Linked DNA regions of Arabidopsis thaliana. The protein of the gene in region 3 interacts with the protein of the main gene of each other region in a pairwise test. Each region holds a gene or a part of one and is shown on either strand. Other genes may lie near its edges.

Evidence for each region. The genes of interacting proteins can lie anywhere in the genome.
Region 1: the proteins of AT3G43240 (region 3) and AT5G22355 interact in a two-hybrid assay, tested with the Arabidopsis thaliana proteins (one large-scale study listed by BioGRID).
Region 2: the proteins of AT3G43240 (region 3) and GATA4 interact in a two-hybrid assay, tested with the Arabidopsis thaliana proteins (one large-scale study listed by BioGRID).

The regions. Positions count from the first base shown.
Region 1 is NC_003076.8:7,399,772-7,404,472, reverse strand, and holds AT5G22355 (Cysteine/Histidine-rich C1 domain family protein), read right to left. Parts: upstream 2,767-4,701; 5' UTR 2,712-2,766; coding exon 717-2,711; 3' UTR 501-716; downstream 1-500. Other genes in the region: VAMP714 (vesicle-associated membrane protein 714), read left to right, coding at 4-94; ELM1 (fission ELM1-like protein (DUF1022)), read left to right, coding at 3,727-3,912, 4,593-4,701.
Region 2 is NC_003074.8:22,371,374-22,375,054, reverse strand, and holds GATA4 (GATA transcription factor 4), read right to left. Parts: upstream 2,043-3,681; 5' UTR 1,708-2,042; coding exon 1,498-1,707; intron 1,421-1,497; coding exon 908-1,420; 3' UTR 501-907; downstream 1-500. UniProt on the Arabidopsis thaliana protein: Transcriptional activator that specifically binds 5'-GATA-3' or 5'-GAT-3' motifs within gene promoters. May be involved in the regulation of some light-responsive genes.
Region 3 is NC_003074.8:15,209,328-15,216,750, forward strand, and holds AT3G43240 (ARID/BRIGHT DNA-binding domain-containing protein), read right to left. Parts: upstream 5,621-7,423; 5' UTR 5,114-5,620; coding exon 4,961-5,113; intron 4,717-4,960; coding exon 4,525-4,716; intron 4,308-4,524; coding exon 4,254-4,307; intron 4,166-4,253; coding exon 4,077-4,165; intron 3,946-4,076; coding exon 3,669-3,945; intron 3,562-3,668; coding exon 3,505-3,561; intron 3,374-3,504; coding exon 3,342-3,373; intron 3,195-3,341; coding exon 3,059-3,194; intron 2,973-3,058; coding exon 2,799-2,972; intron 2,400-2,798; coding exon 2,160-2,399; intron 1,966-2,159; coding exon 1,663-1,965; intron 1,587-1,662; coding exon 1,449-1,586; intron 1,368-1,448; coding exon 1,269-1,367; intron 1,174-1,268; coding exon 1,073-1,173; intron 985-1,072; coding exon 894-984; intron 813-893; coding exon 705-812; 3' UTR 504-704; downstream 1-503. Other genes in the region: AT3G43230 (RING/FYVE/PHD-type zinc finger family protein), read left to right, coding at 88-272; AT3G43250 (coiled-coil protein (DUF572)), read left to right, coding at 7,386-7,423.

The DNA of each region.
Region 1 (4,701 bases), on a different chromosome or scaffold from region 3:
CAGGGTCTTGTTGACATGCTTGATAGTTTTCTTGCTGTACATAATAATCGCATCTTTCTGCGGAGGAATCACTTTACCATCATGCAGATCTTAAAATCTGGCGGCCTTATCTAAGGTATACTGAAACGGACCACTGTTTTTGTAAATCAACTCAGTCGCATCATTTCGATTTGAAGCCTTGGTTTTGTCATGAAAATGACTGTGAGTTTGAAGTTACATGTCATGGTCCTCCTTGCTTATGTAACTCTTGTAAATGTCAAAATCAAAATGATACAGAGGTTCATTGAACTCTTGCCTTGTCTTTTAGATTTAGTCACGTGAGTGAGTTTGTTCTCTGTATTTCCAAAACTTTATCCGCTGTGTCTTTATAATTTTTGCATTTGCAATGTACATCACATATTCGTTATTTTTGTTGTTAAAATTACTTCAGTTTTCATCTTTGTTTAATAACATTTCTGATTCACAAATATCTGTTTCCATCATTTCTGTCTATGTTTTCATTAACTAAATCATATTAGTTGCTACTACCTTTTTAGCAAGTTTGTCATAACTTGTTACGACTTTATATATGTCATCGATACAGTTTAATCCTGCCTGTACTGATGAACACAGTATGAATATAACCAGAATGCTTAGCACTTGTAGTTGGAAATAAACTCTTACATCCAAAAAATTACGAGAAACAATAGAGTGAAATAAACAGCTACATAGTTGTCTTAGCTGTATTGATAGTCGGGCACTACACATGCATCGGAACAAATGTATCCAGTATATGGATCACAAAGCTTTAGAATGATAGGAGCTCTGCATCTGGAGTGACATTTTGCACAGAAGGGGCGAGAACTATAGCTGTTAAGAACCACTTCAACTCTAACATTATTGTAGTTGATGATGCGTCCTGGCATGAGACGTGAAAAGTCTCCAAGCACACATTCAATATGTGCAGTAACCACACATTTAGAGCAAGTGTAGAACCACTTACTTGGATCTGTTTCCGCCTCGCAAATATCACACCAATATTTTCCGGTTGCATTTTCGCCATAGCATAGGGAAAGAGGATGATTGTCGCAGCTGTGCTTTACCGTTTTTGGTAAATCAGTACAGTGTAAATCCAGATCAAAGTCACAAGTGTCACAGGAAAGCAGATAACCATCTATCTCTTTATAACATGCATCACAACAGTGATCTTTCTTATGTTCGTAATATAGAGGATGTCTGTGACCATCATGAATGACCGGTTCAGAACGCGAACCACAACGTACATCTAGAACCCACCAATCAGAAACGTACCTGAAACCAGTAGACTTCGTTCTACAAGCATAGCAGCGAAAGACATCGTAGAATCTAAAATCTTTGCTATGGAATGTACGAGGTGGTCTGGACCATAGTGTGAATGGTTTTGTGTGGAATACATGTCGTTTCTTTTTTGGATGATTAGCGCATTTCTCATGGAGAATGAAACGACATTCCTCACAGTTGTAGATCGGATCGGAATAGATAGGAAGGACGCATGCTTCACAACGTGAGCCTTCGTCACGATTGATATTGTCCTTGTTGAGTCTTAGATTATGTTCTTCATGACTGAAATGCTTGATCAAGTTATCACCCACCACTTTGAACGGCACAATATCTTCGTCATCATCATCTGGTGTCCCTTCGAGTTCTACCCCATCCCATACGTCTTTTCTTGTTGCACATAGTGAATGAGCTGCATAGTTCGGGCAACGAGGGCATAAATAAGCCCCATGGTATTGACTTATATCTTTGCGACAAATACCGCATCTCGAGTACCCAACACCGAGATGATGGGTGAAAGAGATGCGATGATCGTGACGGTTGATGTTTATGACACGTGGTAAGTCAATACAAGTTCTATGGACAACAAACCCGCATTGAACACACATGTAAGGACTTCGATCACCTTGCATCCCACAAGCATTACATTCAAATGAGATGAGTCTTGATAAGAGGACAAGTCGATGCTCGTGCGTCTTATGATGCTCGATAGCAAGTGGTGGTGGATCTTTTGTACAGAATCGACATACGCTGAAGTTGCATATCGAGCAGCGATAAAGCACTTTGTCTGGTCGTTCTCCACATAAAAGACATGTCTCTTCAGCATCACTTGTTAGTGATTCATATTCAAGTAACTTGAGAGAATGTTGAGGATGAGAAGGATGATTCACCTCTTGGGAAAGATTGACACACTCGACATGAAAGTGGACTTCACATTCAAGACATGCATAAGAACATCCACCATTATAGCCCTTGCAAATTCCGCATCTGCGCCTACCCGGCTTTGCGGGTTCTTTCAAGAAGATAACTGGATGATGATGAGACTTTGGATGTTCGATAGAAACCGGCAATGGATTTATCCCACAAGTGAGATCCACGATGAAGTCACATTTTGATGAACAACGATAACCAAAAGCGAAAAAAGTCTTGCCACATAGATTACATTTACATGGGTTCCTTAGAGAATTGTGGAGTTTAAGAGTGTGTTGAGGATGAGAAGGATGGTTGATAATCTCCGGTGGAGCCTCTGCGCACTCTTTGTGGAAGAACAAACTAGTAGAGGAAGGCTCGTTGCAACGGTAGCCGCCATAGATGGGACCTTTTATATTGCAACCTTTACAAGAATCATTAACAAAACGAGTCGAAATGGTCAAAGGATATTTGTGAGTTGGTAGTATTTTGGGTGGTAGATCCATTTTGTGATTCAAATGCGGTTTGTTTTCTGGAGATCTCAAGATAATACTACATCATATGAATGCATCTTTGTAACCCCAATATAACAAAGACACGTAATGTGTGAACACCTTAACGATTCTTGTCTCCAATGAATCATGTGCAATCGATCCTGTTTTCCACGAGATGATTATAATATATAGTTGAATTATTTCATATTCCTAACTGTTTACAACCTGCACACATTAAATTATCTTATCATCGTTATAGCTACCTATGAATATAATAGTATGAAAATACCCAATAAATTAATTTCCTAAACTCAACATCTAACGTGTTAACAACAGCTAAGATATATAATTATATTGAATCATTTCTGCAATTTCATATTCTCTATCGTGACACTCGGAGTCTTGAGATCGCTAGATTTCTTTGAATACTATGATTGGTAAAGTCGTGTGTAAAAAAGTTAGACCGAGACAAAACGAGGCACAGGAAGAACAATAACAGTTGGGCTTTTTCCAGATAAGGCTTCACCTTTTAACAATCAAATTCTACATATTGGGCCTACGAAGAGGTTCATAAGATTTGAATAGACAATTAGAAAAACAGCAATTATGTGACAAATAGTGTTTTATTCTAATTTTGGATGACTATCGGTGAAATTTTAATTTTAATCATCATATAACAAAACAAAATTCCAAAACTTCAAATTCTAAAATCAAAATTTTTAAAATACCATACAATTTCTTTTTTTTTAAACAATTGTATGTTTTGTATTGACAAAATTAGTTTTATTGATTAGCAAAAAATTCGTTTAAGACCTTAAATTTGTCCTTTGTTAATTGTTATACCAAATTTTAGCGTAAAGACAATCTCTTGAAGGAGAAAAGGAAAACAATCTCTCTTTCTGTGACCTTTCGCAACTTGTCAAAGCACCACGACCTTCTCTCTACGGAGTTGAGATCAATCCCCCCAAATCTCGGTGTGGTTCCTCTAGGGTTTTTGATCGGAATCGGAATCGATAATCTAACCGGCATGAGGCCAATCCTATTGCCGGATCCACCCAGTCTATCTACCGGCGTCCCTGATATTTTCGAACAAGGCGGTTCCCATAACGTCGTCAGACGCGCCGTCGTCATCGGAAACGGTTTCCCTGGCTCCGAGAATCAGTGTATCGGTCTCGTTCGTGCGCTCGGCTTATCTGATAATCACCTTCTCTACGTGAGTTTCTTTGATCTAGGCTCTAGACGTTTTTAGCATCTGCTTAGTGCTTTCATTTCGTCGACTATAAACCATTGATACTATACTCGAAATTCTCGTCAGTTTTTGCTAGGCGCATGATGTAGTTGAGAGATTGATGATTGCTTTTGGATAGGAGTTTCTTTTACTTTGTTGTTTCGTCGTGTGTTCTAGGTTTTTAGCTTGTTAGGTCTCAGTCTAAGTAGGAGTGGAAATTTCATATTGTTTAGTACTTCTTTAGAGTGTATGAATGTTCAGAGAAGGAGGAACTATTTGAATTTTTATGGAAACAATGAATTGGTAAATATGTAAATTTGCCAATATCTCAAGTTCTGCAAATTTAGGGTAAACAGTGGAAGGTTCTTGGGGTGTCATAACTACCTATATTGTCAGTTTTATTTATAATTTTTTTTGGTAAATCTTAAAGAGAATTGAATCATTGGTGGAGCATGATGCTGGTGCAATTACTGAATTTCGTTTACAAGGAACACTGGTAGTGGAGTCTTTAATGCTTCTTTTAGATCAGTTTGGATGCATATAAGGCTGTTTTGCTGTGTCTGGTTTCTCTAGCTTCTTGATCATTCATAGACTCGACATTCACGTAAATTTACATTTAACATGATTTTTGGTTAGCTGAGATTATCTCTTTTTCTTTATGCAAGCGAGTGACAAGGCCTAAAGGAGGACTAAATGAGTGGCTGCACTGGCTCCCAGTTGGTTTTCACAAGAAGTTGGACTTTATCCTCAGGCATATTTACCTCTACTCCAGAT
Region 2 (3,681 bases), 7.2 Mb from region 3:
GTTTTGAGTTTTGTTGTTGTTTTCTTGAGTAGTCTCAATTGACCTCAACATTTTTGCAGTTTCTTGATATTTGAATTTTTGTCTTTCTTTATACATATATTTGATCCTCTTTTTTCTTGGCTTGGTTTAGTTGATAGTTTAAGCGGAAAATTAACCAAATTAGATTAGTTTTGTATGGTATTTCTGGTTCGATATCTTAATGTTAAGACCTTGCTTTGGTTTCTATTAGGATTCGGTCTGTCGGGGTTCTGGATTTGAATAACGGTGACACTATACACCACATTATGGTTCAATTTTCAGATCATTTGTTTGTTCTGTTTCGGTGTTACCGCCTAACCAGTTTAGTTTATTTATAAGAGGTTTAAGCACTTTGTATAAGAGTATTGGTAATTTTTGGTTCAGATGGAATAAAGCGAAAAATTGTTAGATTTGAATAGCCTAAACCAGAGAGAGTTAGGTTTGGTATGGCTTAGGTTACTATTTTTTAAGAAAGTAGTAAACTGAATTGCCTCGTGAAATGCCAAAAACTCAAATTCTCAAGCATGTAACATGTATGATGTATGTATGAAGATTAACCAGCATTGTCATGTGTGATATAACATCATAAGTCACAAAAAGCAGAGTCCATGGTGGTTGAGAAGCTTTTATATCTGAAAAGAGGAAAATTAAATGCCGCCAATGAAATCATTTAATGATATAACTTTAAGGAGAGCCGTGAGACCAATAAACAAAAGCAAGAAAAAAATCAATAGAAATTACCAACAAATTAATTAGCAGAGATTTGCAAACTTTAAACTAATACTGATAATTAAGTCCTTAACCCCTCCCGTCGGTCACGTGATCATCACCGTTAAGATTACGACACGTCACCAAATCACAAAAACCCTTGAAAAGAAAACCCCCAAATTTACTGCGGCTGAAACGGCGGAATTCGAACGCAAGATTCTTGTTGTTCCTTCTGTCGCCGGAGCTCCATAACTTTCCGATGAGAGTTCGAATGCTGAGTCAATACAAACGTCGGACTCGACGCCGGTCTGTATTCCGGTACAAGCCTCCCTGATTTGTAACGAACTCCACAAGCGTTACAAAGTGTTTTAGGTCCAAGCGGTCCAGTTCTCCACTGTGGCGTTTTCTCCGAGGCACAGTGCGTGCACCGCCTCGCTCCATCCGCCGTAACCGATTCAGCGTTGTAGACTTTCTTCGGTTTAGGTTTAGCGACGGAGTGACAAAGCTCTGATTCAGACATCGGAGCCCAAGTTCCAGCTACGGAAGGTGCTGGTGCTCTTGATCGGCGACTTCTAGGTTTTCCGGTGAATGAAATCTCGGGTCTAACGGTCATGGTTAAAGGATTTGCTGGGAAATCGGAGAATGAATCGTCAACGAATCGCGATAACCATTCGAGATGAGCTGCGTCGTCACTCTGCAAAACTCAAAATCAGAACTTAGAAATTCAAAATCAAAATCAAAATTAGGGTAAATTGAAATTTGAAAACGTACGGGAACGCAGAGATCGTGAGTGAAGTCGGTGAGGAGAGTAGGAGAAGTGTAGGTGGAAGAAGGAAAGCTGAAAGGGTTTTCGGAAGAAGCGGCGGAGGAAGCGGCGGAGGAAGTGACGGTGGAAGAGGAAGAGAAGATTTCGTCGTTGGAGAAATCGAGAAGGTCGTCGATACGAAGCAAGTCCGGTGAAGACATGCCGTAGACGTCCATTGTTGACTCGGACTCGCTTACTGAGTATGTATGTGGTCACTGGTTCAGAGGTTTAATATAGAGAGAGAGAATTAGTGTAAGTGAGGAAAGAGACGAAGATGAGAACGTGCATAGAGTTAGCATGCACCGAGACTGACCTGACCACTCCCTTTTTTTCTATTTATTTATCCACTTTAATATATTTGTCTACATTTTTCTTTGAACATGCATGTGCTATTTAATTTACTTACCAGAGGATTAATTAACCATGAATTACATAATGCATATACTAGTCTTTTTTTAAAAACGCATATATTATAGATCGAGCTTATATTCTAAACAAGCATTTTGAAAACATTTCTTTCAAAACAGACACTCTAAACAGTAAAAGCATATAATACTTCAATTTTTATTGTTACGGACATTTTTGCCCTTAAACTATGAACTGGAGTTGAGAATGAGGTGAAAAGAATGTGTTTATCTTCTAAAAATTGTATCCCCATCTCTGATTCAATTTTAAGTTTCTTTTGACATCCAAAGATATATGGCTTAGATAGTGGACTTGCAGCTTCGACGGTAGGCATGAAGCTTTGACGATAGCACAAAGATTTGGTGGTGGTTCACGGCTTTGACAACGAGGGGTAACGAACGGCGTCAATGGTAAACGCTATACCCTAGAATTAGACTTGTAAACCCAAACCGTCAAATATAGAGTATGCAATTCTTACATACACACAATAACACAACACTACAACCATCCTCATTATCATCAAACACCATTAACATGAACAAAAATCAATGTACTTGTAGACATGATTATGAACATCAATTGAGCAATCAACAAAGTATCAATCACTTCTTGAATTCCTTAACCTGCACAAAAATCACTGAACAAAAAAACGTGCAAATCGTAATACTAAATCGTGGGACTTTTTTGTTTCTTGTTTTTTTTTTCCAGATCTCAAAATGTGGGATGTTAAAAATCTAGATCGCATTCACATCTCATGAGGACCGATTGTTAGTCGTCTGAATTTCCAATCGTCGCTGACATCACTCTGTAATCAATGACTCCAAAGTTGTTGGTGTTGGTCGCAAGTATTTTTGATTTCTAGTGTAAAACGTAAAAGTTCATCAACAAAGAAAGAACAACATCATCTCTCTGTAAGGGTAAAAACGACTTTCCCCAGGAAAGAAGTGCCTAAATCTAAAGATCATTTCAAAAGTGCCTAAAATAAAATATATATCTAAGACAAATGCCTTATTTGCAATAAACTCATTATAGATCATAGTCTATAGTTTTATTAATTTAAACAAGTAATGAAGGGGAAATTAAATAAATGCAAGGTTACTAATTTTATTTTTTTCAATAAGCCTCTCTCCCTTTTGTTAATTAAATTCTTCTGCCATCTCCTAAAAAGGTTTTCCGATTTTTTTTCTTAATTTTGTTGAAATTTGTGAGTTGGATCATTTAGTATCCCGTTGAGTTTTTTTTTTTTTTTATGTTTTCTTGTTCAAAGAAAATAAAATAATATTCTCCGGAATGTGTAATCAATCATAGAGTTGAATTTCAACATGACCAAAACAAGGAAATAGAGAACAAAATTGGCTCAACAATTTATTAATACAAAGTGATGCGAATGTATAACTATCTTGTTTCTTGTGCTTACATGAATATTTCGCATTTTGCAATCACACTTACAGAAAAAGAAAGAGACACAGAAGTGGGACTAGCTTCGATCGTTGTAGAATAGAGTGTACACAAGTATCTAATATCATTCTTCAGTAACCTAGCATGTCTTTCACAGGTTTGATTAATAACTAATGTGATAACGTTTAGAAATATCCTTACTACCAGAAGTAACGAAAATTTAGTTTTGATAAAGAGTTGTTTTGACATATTATTTTAAACATTGAAGAGATAACTATAAAAATGTAGTGGGGAATGGGAAAATGGATGGAGACAATGAAGGAGATGAGTCGACCGACGATCCGAAG
Region 3 (7,423 bases):
ATTTGGCCAGACTCGTAGCTCAATAATACAGAGGAAGTTGAAATGTAAATCTATAACCTGAGAGAAGTTGTTGTGTTGTGTGAACAGGGGCATTTGTGGGAGTATCTCTAGAAGGAAATCTGGTGGCAACAAGAAGGGACATGAATGTAAAGTTCTATGGTGATCCATACCTATCCACATCGGACATTCTACTTGGGATGGTGGATCAACCCAAGGCAGCTGAACCGTTGTACACCGCCCTCCGAGAGCTCTATGCTCGTTTGCGCCCGTAATCTCCATTCACATTACAAACTACGCTTTGTATATATACGCTTCTCAAATTCGTTTCTATTAAAGTGTAAATGTACATAAATTGTTTCTCTCTAGAACCAAACAGTTGCTTCCCCAAACTGTGTGAACGATTTGGGATTTACTTATTTTATCAAAGCTTGTTTACCTTTTTGAAGCTTGTTTATCAAAGCTTGGTTCTATTTGCATGTCTATTCATTTGTTACAGATAAAATGATATTGGCAAGTCCCTTAAATATGATGCAAAATCTATAACGTTCACTATTTTTACATTCTCCGATTCATTATAAAGATAATGGAAAGAAAAAAAACCTTGCATTGCAAAAAAACTCGTGAAACATTAGAGGAATCAATCAATCATTTGGTTCCAAGGCAAAAGTACAACAAAAGAAGAAACATGAACCTAAGGTACAAAGCTAAGGTACAAGCAAGCCACCGTTGGAGGTCTTCTGAGACTTCTTCCTGTAATTTGAGACACTACAATTTGGGCACACATATTCCAACCCATCTGTTTTTGCATAGTCCTGTATATATCATATGTTGCATCAGTACACATATTATTCATTGATGCTTATTACGAGTTTACGATGTGTTCGTTTAGTTACCTTGAAGGCGCCGAGGCCAGGCCTTCTGTCACATCCGAAATGAGCCCACTCTCCACATGATCCACAGTTCACCCAGTCACCAGCTGTGCTACTGTTTCAACCAAACCAAACCAAAGCGCGTTAACAAACAAGGCGTTATTAACCGTGTACACAAGAGAGAGAGAGGGTTCTTAATGTACCTGCGACATATTAAACAGCACTCTCCATCTACATCATCATGAGCATACTCATACTCCAATAGATACGTCTCATAGTGTCTTTTCAGGGTATTACCCACACCCTGCCATAATAACCCCAGAGCTGATGATCAGATATACATTCTCTGATTTTTCAAGAATAAATCAAGTGGTGAGACAAGAAAACAAAATCATTTACAGTCATTCTGTTTGTGAGTGTGTGGTTGCGCATCTTTGAGAAAACTTGTCCCTTCCAGTTGATCCCATTACCTACATGGAACCCTCCCCGTGATACAACCTGCAACAACTCTCATTATTAGCTCACCAAATGTAATGCTGGCTGCCTTGGTTGAACAAAATCAAATCATTGCTTAACTACCTCTCTATACAAGTTGAAGAGATCAAGCCGTTTTGAGTTGAGAACAGCATCTGGAAACTCCGCTAGTCCCCCTGGAGGAACTAGCCGGGTATGTCCTCGTATTAGCAGAAACTGCATTACATCCCTCAGAAACTCCTCCTACATATATAGAGATAGCAATGTTAAGAGGAGTTTATAAGTTCAAACTATTCATCACAAGAAAAACAATGCAAACCTCTGAGCAAACTTGAATATGCGCTCTTCCACAGTCGTGTTTTTTTAAAGGTAGAGGGTTTAGTGAGATGATTTGCTTTCTCTGGTACGAACCAGAGAAAGCTTTACGGTGAGTTACTGGAGTGCCACCTGATGCACCATGCTTTGGAGGCATAGGCAAGCTTCCTTTGGTGTGGTCACCATCAAATCTTCCAATTTCAGAGTAACCAGAGAAAGGTATCATCTTATGTCGACGGGTGTGAGGTATTGGTCTCAAAGCAGCCACGTTGATTTTCCTTGATGTAGGTCCTCCGTTTTCAATTTCCTGAATATAAATATTGTCACAGCATCCAATCAGTATATACATGAAGACTGATGAACATTTGGCAGAAGTATGGCCACAAAACTTATCCCTGATTAGAGTTGAAATCATAGAGTCTAGCTCATGAACAAAGAATAATTCCAAATTAACATTTTGTATAGAGAGAAAGTTTCAACCTGCGATATCCGAAACAGTACCTTACTTTCTCTGCATGGCTCGGATCTTTTTCTGGTTGGCAAAGGAGGTGTTAACCAGTTAGGAATTTTGGATAAAAGAGCATCATGATTTGAAGTATCATTGATCTGTTGTCCGCAGAAGAAAAGTAAACGTTCTGCATCATCTTTCTCAAAGGAAGCAACAGACAACCCCTGAATGCTAGCTACTCCAAGAACGACTAAACTGCGGTATGACACATCCGGCGCCAACTGTCTTAAAACCTGTCGAAAGCAAAATAACCTTTTCTTAGTCACGCATTAGCAAGTGGAAACTCATGAAACGCAAAAAATCCTGAGAACCCAAAGAGAATGTAAATCACATGACTATCTGGATGTAATCACTTAAAATGCACAAGTATCATGAATAAAGAGTGAAAGCAATAAAGCACGAAAAATGGTCCTTGGACATCCCAAAGCTTGAGTTAAACGTTAAGAAACATGAAAAGCCTTTATTTCTACCCGTTACAATTTCATAACAAACTTTTCATCTGAAACTCTTGTGACTACTTTGGCTGACTAAATTGTTGAGAAACTTGGAAACAAGGTGCATGAGATAAATAATTGGGCTAAAGATTACTATCTACAACAAATATAAGTCGAGGAAAGAAAGAGATTATTAACCTGCAGAGCCCATGTTGGGACTTGCATCGAAACTTCACACACACTTGCTCCACAAGCTATTGAGGCAGATCTACGAGGCTCAGAGAAACCCCGCTTTGTTTCTTCTGAGTTCACCACTGAATGGACTAGTTGGATCTTCTCAACGACCTCATGTTTTATGTGATTTTCCAAAAGCTGATATTTACATAGGAGATTAATAATAAATCCCATTGCACATGTATGCAGAGATAAGCTATATTTCAAAAGATATAATCCCTTGCCTGATCACTGAAACAGGTCTGCGCATTTCCAGACACAAGCATTGATATGTGTGCTGAAGAACAGGTCGAGACATCACAACGCATGGTCACTACACCACGAGTAAATGTTCCTGCTTGAAGAGGAGGTGCTGGAGCACTGCAGTTTCAATTTTGATCAGCAAAAAAATGAAAAGTAACCAAGTACGTCTTAAAACTAAGTCAAAAGGCACAAAACCATAGATGATTAATCTTAAGGTTATTCGAGGGATGCGCAACATATCATTTGGCTATAGAAATTACATACCTAGAACGGTTATGGAGCTTACTTCCTCGCATCTGGAACAATATAAAAAAATAACGTTCTTTTAAAAGGACTAAAAGAAGACATATACAATTAAGTCCATCCATACATTTTAGTATGCGCACTAATGAAGAAATATCAAAACTGTAAACTACCAACTACTCACTTCTATTCGCAAGAGAGCATTAAGTCCATCCATCAAAGATCCCAGTAAAAATGTATCCTGAAATAGAGAAAAAGCTTTGTAACTGAAGATAGCATAAAGAAATACTAACATCTGCACAAACAAGCCAGTATCATAAAATGCGCGAGAAGGTCAACAACACCCACCACTGTGCATGGTGGTCCACACAAAAGAAACCTCACAGTAACATCTTCATCATATATCTTTATTGATGGGAGGCTCTCTAATGAATTTTCCTCTTCTAGTTCATCAGCTTCCGGTGAAACCACATCAATCTTTGGAGGTTCTCCAAGCAAGCAAGGTCCCATCTCATAATTCATTTTACGGTTGCTGTTAGAAGGAAGGACAGCATTGTCACTTGTACAATAGAGTCGGAAAGATGCTTCTGCAACATGGAACACATCCCATGTATCGCTGCACGAACTGCATTGCCAAAGAGCATATCACTGTCAAATAAATTTGTAGACTAGGGGAAAAAACTATATAAAATATAGATGTAAATCAGACTAAAATTAAGGCTTGTCGCTATGTCAGATGCTCGAGTAAACAATTACCTCTGTATGACTGAAAACAGAGAATGGCGAAAATGGCAGGCTGCATATTTCGAGAAAACATTTTTCCAATAAATAACATATTGAACACCCTGCAAAAGAAAATCACCATTAGGTGAAATAGAGCAACAAAGAGGTAATAAGAAGAAAAGTGAAAGGTGCTTATCAAGAGTGGTGTACCTTAGAGTAGAGTGCTTGAGCTAATTCTTCACCATTTGGGAGCTCAAGGTAAACCTGTGAAAACAATATGATGCCAAAACATATTAATATCTCACTAGGTATGGAAAATGTTTTAACATTCATGTAGAGGATACTCTATGGAGCCTTTTAAGCACATTGTCAAGAGACTAACAGCGATTTATTAAGAAAATCTTAGTGGCATGAGGCATCAACGTAAAAGGAAATCCTTAACTAAAAACGAGAAACGTAAAACAACGAATGATGCACCTACCGTTGTCGGTAATGTGGAACCAAACAGAGTAACCAAGGCATCAGGAGTAGAAAAATCAGTATATCCCAACACTAAGGGACCAACTTCATCACTATCTCCACTATGTTCCCCTTGCAAGTACACAAAATCCGTTGCTGAAGAGTTAACAGCAACCTGGAACTCCTCCGGCGTAGGATTATTCAGTACCTGAAACTACAACATGAAAAAAGCATACACCAAATGCTTTAACATCTCCATTAAGAAATCACTTAGAACCAAGATTCTCCCATCAAGTCTACCAATTTCTAAAGGCCTCAAGCAACACAACCTATAGCAACAACTCTCACCAGCTAACAATTCCCAAACTTAGTTCAACATTGTCTAAACTTACTAAAGGTTCCAACTTTCAACCAACAATCTAGCAAATCAATTACGAGAATTAGAAAAGTGTTTTTACCTTGAGACGCCCTGAAGAAGAGAGATCTGGAAAAGGGTATTTGGGTTGATGAGAAGTTCCATCTATCTGGTTATTAGTATCGCAAAGCTCTGCTCCAGAAACAACTGCCACAACATTACAACGGTTTCTCGAAAACCCTTGTCCATGAAACATCGTTCAATAGCATAACCAAACTTCTAATCTCTCTATGAAACTAGACCACAAAGAAAACCCTAAAGAAATTCAACGAATAAGTTCGTTAAGAACCCACTACTCGACCTCAAAATCAGCCCTAAGAAGAAGAAAAAAACCCTAATTTCGAACTCGTAGGAAGAAATCGACGGTACCCAGAAAAGAAGAAGACGAATTTTATTGGAAAAAGAGAAACCTAAACAGAGAGAAGAGGCCCATCACAAAAGATCACAAACACAAAAGATTAAAATTTAGAAAAAATCTGAAGAACAACAATAAACAAATTGATGAATCTTTTCTTTTAAGAAGCTATAATAATAATAATACTCTACAGTGTTTATCTTTGTAACACTAAAATCAAAGCAAAATTGTTAATCAAAAGGTAAGAGAAATTTAACTAAAAAACCAAACAGAGGAATTAATTAACAACAACAACTAAAAATGTTGTTGTGTTTGGTTTTTTTTTGTGTTTTTTTTTGTTTTGTTTCACATCTTTTAATCGTGTTTTAATTCAAAGCTTCGTTTAACTCTTTAGGAGCTAAAACCAACGAACATCATCATGAGGATGTAAGAGACTTTTAAGAAGATATGTTCATTTTACTTGGAACTTCCAAGTTCTACACTTTGATCATCGTCTGTCTCTTGTCCAGATAGAGCGAGTATAGACATCCTCTTCCCTACACTTGTTATTTGACCGCAACCGCAAGACTTTTACCATGCTGGTCGGTCAAACTTATTTTTGATAATTGTATTACAAAGTAAGCCTGGGCGGTCTGATATTCGAATCGGATTCAGATCAAGATATTTGGGTTTGGATATTTTAGATTTAGAATTCTAAGATCTGTTCGGGTATTGAAAGATTTCGGGTTTAGATCGGGTTTGGATCGGGTTCAGACCAAGTTTTTCGGGTTTGAATTCAAGTTTATCCGGAATATCCAAAATTTAAGATTTATATCAAAATATATTCAAATTACTTGAAAATACACAAAATTTCTAAAAAAAACGTTAGTATTTTTTATCCAAATCTATCGAAAATAGGTAAAGTATCCAAAAATATATAAAATATTTTAAAATCTAAATGTTTAATGTTTATGCACTTAAGTTGTTGTATATGTAATTATTACTAATTAGTCATTTCTAGGTATATATATTTTGGATATATTTGGATACTTGATCGGATTTAGATTCAAATCGGTTTCGGGTTTTGAAGTTTAAAATCCGTTTGGGTATTCTAAAATTTCGGATTCGAGTTTGGATCACGTTTTTCGGATCGGATTCGATTCAGTTCTTTAGATTCGGGTTTTTTGCCTAGGCATATAAAGCTTGGATATATTTGTGAAAAATCATTTTTCCATCTTTCTGTTACATATCGTGAAGTACTGGAGTGTTACTTTCCTGGGTCGTATATATTTGACATTTCTCATTGACTTTGAGCCATCCTAGCTGAATGTACGCATTGTGCTGCTTTTTATTAGCCGCCTTGTGTTGTTGTCATTGGTAAAAGCTACACTAACAATATGTATATTCTATCTTAGTGTAAAACATTGTCATTACCTATGTTCTATACTAAAACAAAGAATATACATATTGTGATTGTTGTTATCTATACATGGGACTTAATCTCACATGTGTTACTATCTATGAGTTTGTTGGAGCGTATTGAAAAATCGATGTGATCGACTATATCAAAATTATGTAAATAATGAAAATCTAGACGATCATGATATCTTATAATTTCTTAGTTTAAAGTATTTACATTTTTCTTATCTTAATTTAAATATATATATATATATATATATATATATATATATATATATTGATGTATATTATAACATTATTTTTATGAGTATAATACTAATTTTGTTAAATAGTTTATGTGTTTACTCATCAATTTATAAATTTGGGCCTCGTGTGAGATCTATAGATAAACATATTGTAATTCTTTGCTGGATGAAAGCATAAAACTTTACGTTAAGTCGTTATGTATAAATAAAAGTTGAAAATTACAAAATAAACGTGTTATTTGTTTTGCCTTTTTCTATAAGTCGGCCAAGCAAAAAAAAGAAGAAACATAGCAACTTCATCTTCGGCTATATAAAGAGAATGTCTCATAACTTTTAAGGATCATCCAAACAAAAAATACAAGAGAGAAGAAGAGACAGAGCAATAGAGATATATCAAGAGAGAAGTTAGATTCGCTTCTCTTCTTTTTTTGGTAAACGTTTGATTCTTCTTCTTTGTATGCTCTGAAGTTATGGGAGAACGCAAAAACCTAAACAAGTATTATCCGCC